Saccharomyces cerevisiae S288C: one gene and its partner. The gene in region 2 interacts genetically with the main gene of each other region. Each region holds a gene or a part of one and is shown on either strand. Other genes may lie near its edges. The genes, in order: IDP3 and AAP1.

Region 1 (3,893 bases), on a different chromosome or scaffold from region 2:
TAATAAGGTTAATGGACCGTTGACTAGATCACAATATGGTAAAAGAAACCCACAAGGTGTACTAGTCGATGTTGTTATTGAACGCCTTCTGCATCATACAAACTCCAGGTATATGTACAAACGTTTAAATATGAAGGACGATGACAAATTAGAGTTCAAGTTTGATTTTGCCTTTGATAGTTGCGACGAAGTGGAGGAAATGGATCTCTCCTGCCTAATCTGCAAAGTTAATAAAAGAAATATTGTAACTTGGCCCTGTAGATGCCTTGCATTATGCGATGATTGTAGGATATCTCTGGGTTATAAAGGATTTGCTACATGCGTCAGCTGTGATAGTGAGGTGAAGGGTTACAGTAAGTTGAATATAGTCTAGAATTATTTTATTAGGTATACGTATTTAAGACATCATAGGAATTTTTTTTTTTGGATATGTTCAACCTCAAGTCTGAACACTATAACCCTAGGCCAGACTTGTCTTTTCAAATGAATGGCGGATTGGTTTATAGTTTGCACATACCTTTCTTGTCTTCATTGGAGCTGAGCATCATGTTTTGAAGCCTCTTGGCAACTTCATCAATAAACTCTTCTGTGGTTACATATGATGATCTATTAGTCTTTCCAAGCATCAATGCTAAATCCTTGGTCATTTTTCCGCCCACTTGAACTGTGTCCAAAGTAGCCTTTTCTAGTAAGTTTCCAAATTTTATAACATCATCTGTATTGTCTAATTTTCCTCTTTGTATAATTGCCCTTGTCCAGGCAAATATTGAGGCTATTGAATTTGTTGATGTTTCTTCGCCTCTTTGATGTTTTCTAAAATGTCTGGTCACCGTACCATGGGCAGCCTCGCTTTCAAACGTTTTACCATCAGGTGTAATCAATATGGACGTCATTAAACCAAGAGACCCAAATCCTTGTGCCACAATGTCAGACTGGACATCGCCATCATAATTCTTCATGGCGATTATAAACCCGCCCTTTGATTTTAGCATCTGTGCTACCATATCATCAATCAAACGATGCTCGTACGTTATTTTTAAAGCCTGAAACTTTTCCTTATATTCTTTATCGAACAAATTATCGAAAATTTGTTTGAACTGATTATCATAATTTTTCAGAATAGTGTTTTTGGTTGTAAAGAATAACGGTAGTTTTCTTTTGAGAGCTAATTCGAAGGATGCCTTTGCGAACCCTTTAATGGAATCATTTGTATTAAACATTGCCATTGCGATCCCACCACTTTTAGGAAATTCATAAACCTTTAAATCGATGTTTTCTTTACCGTCATCTGAGCTAAACTGTAACCTTAGTTTGCCTGCTTTTTTAATCTTGATGTCAGTAGCCCTATATTGGTCACCAAAAGCATGACGGCCTATAATTATAGGTTTCTCCCAGTGAGGGACTAGACGAGGTATTTTTGGAATAATGATGGGTTCTCTAAATACAGTTCCACCTAGGATGTTTCTGATTGTTCCATTTGGAGATTTCCACATTTCTTTAAGGTTAAATTCTTTCATTCTTGCCTCATCGGGTGTTATAGTGGCACATTTGACAGCAACCCCATATTTTAGGGTAGCATAAGAAGAATCCTTTGTTACTTGATCATTAGTCCTATCACGCTCTTGGATTGAAAGGTCATAGTATTTTAAATCCACATCTAAATATGGCAATATCAATTTTTCTTTGATAAGTTTCCAAATAACTCTTGTCTGCTCATCACCGTCCATTTCCACGATGGGATGAACAACTTTAATTTTACTCATTTTAACTTGGACAACTATCTCTAAAGTGTTGCTTGTGTTTACTGCAGGTATGTGCAGGAGAAAGCTTATAAGGGGAACACTCTTATATACGAAGATGCAAAATTGGGGTAATTAATGTAAATTTAAGAATGACAAGAAGAGTTGACTAGTACACGCAACGAAATACTAATCACATTTTACTTTTCCCCTAAAAGAGAGCTCCTGCTTTTCTCTTTACTGTCCCTTTTGGTATGTTTGATTGATTTCTAATTAGTATACTTGAAATATCATTCGTTTTGTATTAAAGATTCGGCATTAAGCATGCTAAATCCGAGGAGGATCTTCCTTTATTTTTTGATGTTCTTTCTCTCAGACAATAAAAAAGATATACAAGAAAAATATAGTACGTACGTATATATGCATACATATGTAAGAGGCAGTTACACGGTATTAAACTTTAATATTTCGTAAGAGTCTTGCACTAATTTTCCATCAATTCAGCGACTGTCTTTTCACCAGCCAGAACTTGTTTCATGCTAGCCAAGATGTCTTTGAAGGTATCGAATTCATGGAATGGGACGTTTTGTTTTTTACAATAAGTGACCAAATCTTTACCTCTTTTGGCAAATAGCAAATCACATTCTTTTGCAGCACTTAGATCAGAAACACCGTCACCACAGTAAAAGTAAACGGGTCTTTGTTCACCTGCTTTCAAGGTAGATTCAAATTTCTTTTTATAAGCATCGATACTTCTGGATTTGTCATGTCCGAAGGGACTTTCATCCTTATAGATGATTTTCCATTGATCATGTGCATCGATTTCCACTTCATTGGAAACAATGTCAATTTTGTGAATAGACTCTTGTCCAACTAATCTGGTCAATAAAACCTTGATAATTGGTTTCATTCCGCTGGAAACAACGATGACAGGGACATCATTTTCTTGAGCCCATTCGAATGTATCCTTGAAACCAGGATCCAATCGAATTTTCTTTTCTAAGATCTTGATACACTCAGGGAAAGGGGTGTGGATGGATTCCAGCATTTCCATGAAACCTTGCCTAAAAGACTTAGTATCATCTAACACGCCTTCGAAGACCTTTAATCTTTTTTCCTTACCGAAACCTAAAGTATCGGTCAGATAATCGTTAGAATCTTCCAAAGTAACGGTACCGTCGAAATCGGTAAAAATAACAGCTTTGACCATTTCCCTTGTATATATATAAATGCTATGTCACTCCAGCTTATGTTATGTGAGCAAGTTTCAAGAATGTGTGCGTTCTGTTGAGATAAACAATAGAGGACACTGTATTTTTTTAATTTAAGATGATGAAAAATTATGCGATAATTTTCGAAAATTTCGCTCATTTTAGAAAAAGAGATTTGAACAGGGTACCATAGTAGAACGATAAAAGAATATGTCGTACAATGTGTTGGGTTGTTGATATCCAATAAAGAGTTTTTTTCAGCGTGTAATGCTTAGATATTATGTGGAAAGTTACTACTGTTGTATTAACCTGTTTCGTATTTCCTAAAGAACGCTAATGTGTGATGTTTGGGTTTATTTCTTAAGCTATTTAGGCGGACTATGAAAGAGAGGAAACGGAATCTTTTGTTCCCTCGAGGTAATAAGGGGACAAAATAGCAGAGTGTGGTGAGATAGTTTACTAGATGAACGTCGTTGTGTGCTCCGGTGGGACTGCCACAAATTCATTGACTCCTTGCTTTTCTAATATTTCTATCTTAAAAGGACATGAGCTGACGTATATATTGCCAATATCAGATAATGGCGGGTCCACAAGTGAAATTCTACGAATAGTTGGTGGCCCAGCAATTGGTGATATCAGATCTAGAATAGTGAGACTACTTCAAGATGAACAGCTTGTCGAGTTGTTTGGCCATAGGCTACCTAATGATAAGTTATTAGCTAAGAAAGAATGGAATGAAATAGTGGAAGGTTCGCATCCCATATGGAAAAATATTTCGATAGAAGTTAAGGAAATGTGTCGTTCTTTTATTATCCATATGCAAGCAGAACTCTTGAAAAAAATCAAACACTCGAATCCATTTCAGTTTGAGAGTGCATCCATTGGAAATTTTTTCTTAACTGGTGCTAGATTGTTTTTAGGTTCTCTAGACGCATCTATTGAA
Region 2 (5,151 bases):
GATATTGGGTTTTTACCGATTCCCAAATTAACTTTTCGACCTGTTTATCGATAGCAGTTACAATATCAACGCTCCTGGAGCCAGTCTTCAAGTCATAATCCTTTTGAGTGCCGGACTTGGATTTGATGATTGGTCCTACTTTTTCAGTAGCCAGTTCACAGAGGAATTTCTCGATAGAAGCTAGATCAATGGTCATGGTATATGTGTATATGCGTGTACCAGCTGTTGATTTCCTTATTCATCCAAAAAAAAGAAAACACTGGGGTTATTTAACAAGCAGTTAAATGTGAAGTAAGAGATAAAAGACCTATATTAATACCATTTTTGGAAAAGCAACGTGCGCAACAATGAAAGTCACTCGATGCATCCATTATTCAAAAAAAAGTTTTTTTTTTTTTTCCATACATCATCAGATGAAAAAATCTCGCTATGACGCACGCCAGTCAATATTCACTCAGTTCTTCCGAAAGGAAGCAGAAGAAAGTTCTCTATACTTGGAAATGTGTCAATGAAGATGTTATCAGATTCATTTTCTGCTAGCTACTATATTTCTACATAAGCAAGTAGTAATCTCTTTATTAATTACACGTGGTTTTGACTCATTGGCATATGTATATATTTGTGTTGTAGGTGCTCGTGAAAAAAAAAAGCTATTGATCATACTCATGCTCACGCAAGTAGGTAGCAACGATTTCACGATCTCTGCTCACCCATTGCGCCTTGGATCTAATAGTGTCTAAGGCTTGAGCCAGGGTTTGATCAAAACCTTTAGTGACCTTTCTACTATAGAACGCACTAATTTTTTCAAGGGCTTCAAAAGAGGTAAAATTAGTTAAACCCAATGTCAACACGCCACCCAACACAGGCGAGCCTGGCTGTAATCTCTTAGCAATTTCGTCCCAGTGTTCTTGCATCCAAGCCCATAACCTTTCAATACCCTTCTTATGAACTCTAATGCCTTGCATTGGGATGTAAAAATCTTGATTCAAAACTGTACCATCTAGCAGATAAGACAATGTCCTTTCTAAAAGTTCTTTGTCTTCAAATCTGCCCAAAGCTCTCAAAGCGATAATCTTTTCTTCTGACGAAACAGGGTTTTGATAGATGTTGAAAATCTTTTCGTAATTGTTTTCTCCGCCAAGTCTGGCAACGGTGTTGAAAACAACTGCCTTGAACAGTGCAGGTATGGCCTGTTTGTTCCCATTGGCGTATTCCTCAAACATTTCTACCGCAATCGATTGCATTTTTTCATTGCCAGAAGTGCATGCGGCACTGAAAAGGGTCACTTTTAAACGTTGGATAGCAAAGGAGTCGTCTTCGCCAATATTCCACCCCAATTCAGAAAGTTTGTTAAGTACTAGATCCAAAGTAAATTTATCTAGAGCATTCAATATATCCTCTGGTTCGAAGACCCAAGTAGATTTCAGAGCGGATAAACTATTAATGATTTGTTCCCAAACAACAAATGAATCCTCGTTTTTCCAATTAGAAATTAAATTCAAGAAGTTAGTAGTAGAGGTATAGCCAGATGCAGAAAGGGCTTTTGCATCTGCGACTAAGCCAACACGATCCTCTACGGATAATAAATTTGCCTGTTTGGATAGCTTAGCCCATCTTTCGTCAGAATAAGAGGTAATGAAAATACCAGATTGGTCACCATTAATCTTGAAGAACTCTTCATTCTTTAATTCGAAAGTAGCAGATTTTTCGTTCAATACCAATGTGTTATCGATACCTGTACTGTCTTTCAAAGCTAACAAAATGGGGTATATGGTTGTATCTTCCTCTTCTTTAACATCACCGGTACTTAAATAACGGTGTTGAGTTAATGTGATTTTGTTCTTGTGTTCCTTGACAGATAACACTGGAAAACCAACACGTTTTGTCCAGATGTTCATCACCGAACAAACGTCCTTGCCAGAGGCATCTGCTAAGGCGTCCCACAAATCTCCGGTCTTTGCATTACCGTATTTGAATTTATTCAGGTATTGGGACACACCTTTAATAAAAGTCTCTTCACCCAACCATTTGGAAATCATCCTCAATAAAGAAGATCCTTTAGAATAAGAAATAGCATCAAAAATTTGATTGATTTCGTCCGCATTATTAACGGGAACTTCAATTGGATGGGAAGATCTTAATGAATCTAAATTTAGAGCACGTTGTAAATTGTCAGTAACATATTGCTCCCAAACTTTCCATTCTGGTTGAAACTTGTTGCAAGAGTACCAAGACATCCAAGTGGCAAAACCTTCATTCAACCATAAGCCTTCCCACCAATCCATGGTGACCAAGTTGCCGAACCATTGGTGGGCTAGTTCATGCTGAATAACCTCAGCAACTCTTTGAATGCGATCTAAACTCGAATTTTCTATGTCTAATAACAAATCAATAACTCTATAAGTCACTAGCCCCCAGTTTTCCATAGCACCAGCAGAAAACTCATGAACTGCCACCATATCCATCTTTGGCAATGGATATTCTATGTTGAAGGTGTCCTCAAAGAATCTCAAGGTCCTAGCAGCTAAATTGGCTGCAAACTGACCAAATTTTTCGTCCCCTGGGGTAGAATAAACTCTTACTGGAATACGGAAATTATTGCTTTCCACGTATCTCAGGTCAGCTACAATAAATGCTACTAAGTACGTAGACATCTTTGGAGTCGTGTTAAAAGTTGTATATTTCTTACCCTCTTTGATTGTTTCATTCCTGACATCCATGTTGGACAAATGAGTCAGAAACGATTCAGAGACCAAAGTTACTGCAAAAGTCGCCTTCAAATTTGGTTCGTCAAAACAAGGAAAGGCTCTTCTAGCATCTGTGGCTTCCATCTGAGTAGTAGCCATGTACTTCGTCTCCCCTGTGACTTTATCCGTATACTTAGCCCTGTAAAATCCCGCCATCTGATCATTTAGAATACCGGAAAAGATAATTTCTAACTTCGCAGAAGGTCCTAGGTTTTCAAAAGTTCCATTAGGAAAGACAAGAGTAGCTTTTTGTTGGTTTTCGTTTTTGTTAACTTCAATGGCATTGACACCCTCAATACGTGCAGAATGGAAATCTATTTCTAAGTAATTTATTTGCACAGAGTTTATCGAATGATCATTAATCTGCAGGTCAATTTTTAATGACCCTTCAAACGTAAAAGCACGGAAATTAGGTTCTAGTGTAATGTCATAATGCAATGGGGTAACGTTGTTTGGCAGTACTTCACGGGACATGGTATTAGCTGAGAGGGCAATTTGGCTTGCTTGAACAGGAACCCTCAAAGAAAAATCACGAATTGAATAAGCTTCCCTGAAGATAATTCTAAATGATTAGCTAAGATTACTCATAAAGTCAAAAGTTTGATCGCTAACAAAAGGGAAAAAAACGGAAAAAAAATAAAAAAATGTGTCAAACTCCCACAGCCAAGTCCAAGAGTACGAAAAAAAACTTTCACAACGAGTTCAAAAAATGTGGGATGAAGACTCCCGTTTTTCACCGCCTAGAAAACAGCGTTTGCTGAGAAAAAAAATAAATCATCGAGAAGAAGTATGTCATCATAGGATGTTCCCATTGTAAGGTGATGTGTAACATACTCGAACAAAGAATGTATAGAGCTGAATATTTCTCCTTTAAATTTCAAAGAAAATGAGAAGGAAAATCTCAAACAGAAACTTCGTTCTTTTTCTCAAGTAAGCAAAAGCTTATTGAGACAAAGCGGAATAACTACGATATTAATAACGTTGATGAAGCTCGAACAAAGTTAGCGTCGGTTATGCTTGCCTATATAAAGATATATTTGCCTTACATTTTCGTTGAACGTAGAATGATTTTTGCTTTTAATAAATTTTTTGTTGTTCTTTCAGTGCTTCTTCAACTTTGATACGAAAGCAAGTGCATTAGTACAACAAGAACTGGCCACAACTATACTATACTCATTTTTTCTTGCCCGTGTTTTAAATGTTTTCATCCACAGCATTTGATGGGATGATTGGAAGTGAGACGTTCGAGAAAATCCATATTTTGAGTCAAGAATTCAGATAATATACTGAGATGATTAGGTATGGCTGGGTTCTACAAAAACACAAATATCCGGCTAGCAATGATCACTGAGCAAATTAAAGCGTTAACTCACTCATTATTGTAGCTTATGCGTTTCTCCTCCTCTCTTTTTTTCCTCGAACCGGAGTGGAAGATCCAATAACGTAATATTACTGATGTTGTTATTAAAGCTGGCAAAAATAACATGAGGCGTAAAACCGCACTGCGGTAAGATGAGGGTATAAGGTGGAGATCAGGCGAACAAGCTGTTCTAAATCATACATATGTACAATGAGAACGTGTAACGATCCAATGAGCGTTTCATGATGCCATTGTTTAATCAGAGTGATGAAAAAGAAATATTTGCGACCTTTTTTCGTTACATTGATCGTGAAATTTTAATCAAAGATAATATAAGGACGTGAGATATTTATCTTTTTACTTGAAATTAACAATAGAATTGCGCTAAGCGGAATAAGAGCTTTCGTAAACCTTTCTATTTGCACCATTGCGTCAACGTATAAAATGGTATGACCTTTACACAAACGCATGCTTATAATCTTATGTTTTTCATAGGGTGTAATTTGGTTGATGACGTAGTCTAAATTTGATGCTATCTGCAATTGAGGTACATATAAGAGGTCAATTTCGGGACCAACCCTTTTAATCGAAAAAAACGTAATTCACTAGGGCAAGGGAGAACTTAGCAGCTAATATCGTAAACCTTTCATACTAAAAAAATGCACTTACCATCAACAAAAAACTCAGGACCAATTTCCAAGCTTTTCTAGGTGATTGCCTATAACACAAAAAGATTCGCTCATACATGAGATTTTTACATGTAATAGCAATTTGTTCCGATCAGTTGAAGGTCATCAACGCACGGCAGGTACATCCACACCTATCACAAAGCCCTTCAATAATTCACCTACGTAAAGTTATACCGAAACATGCAAAATCCATGAAAAATTCTGTATGATAACGATCATATCCTTTTGTATTGGTGGTACGATGCTCAAAGATAGTTATTGTTGCACCTGAGGCAAAAGCGGAAATGAAAAATCCAGATGGGGCCAAAAGCAGAAGTATTGTGTACAACAATTGCTTCAGCAGTTTACCAAACCG

The links.
Region 1: mutations in AAP1 (region 2) and IDP3 together harm fitness less than expected from each alone (positive genetic interaction), as found in Saccharomyces cerevisiae (one large-scale study listed by BioGRID).

What each region holds. Positions count from the first base shown.
Region 1 is NC_001146.8:612,691-616,583, reverse strand, and holds IDP3 (isocitrate dehydrogenase (NADP(+)) IDP3), read right to left. Parts: upstream 1,764-3,893; coding exon 501-1,763; downstream 1-500. Other genes in the region: putative ubiquitin-protein ligase ASI3, read left to right, coding at 1-373; PYP1 (putative phosphoric monoester hydrolase), read right to left, coding at 2,224-2,949; YNL011C (uncharacterized protein), read left to right, coding at 3,414-3,893. UniProt on the Saccharomyces cerevisiae protein: May function in the production of NADPH for fatty acid and sterol synthesis.
Region 2 is NC_001140.6:198,090-203,240, forward strand, and holds AAP1 (arginine/alanine aminopeptidase), read right to left. Parts: upstream 3,222-5,151; coding exon 651-3,221; downstream 1-650. Other genes in the region: inositol monophosphate 1-phosphatase INM1, read right to left, coding at 1-196. UniProt on the Saccharomyces cerevisiae protein: Positive effector of glycogen accumulation. May be involved in nutrient-sensing.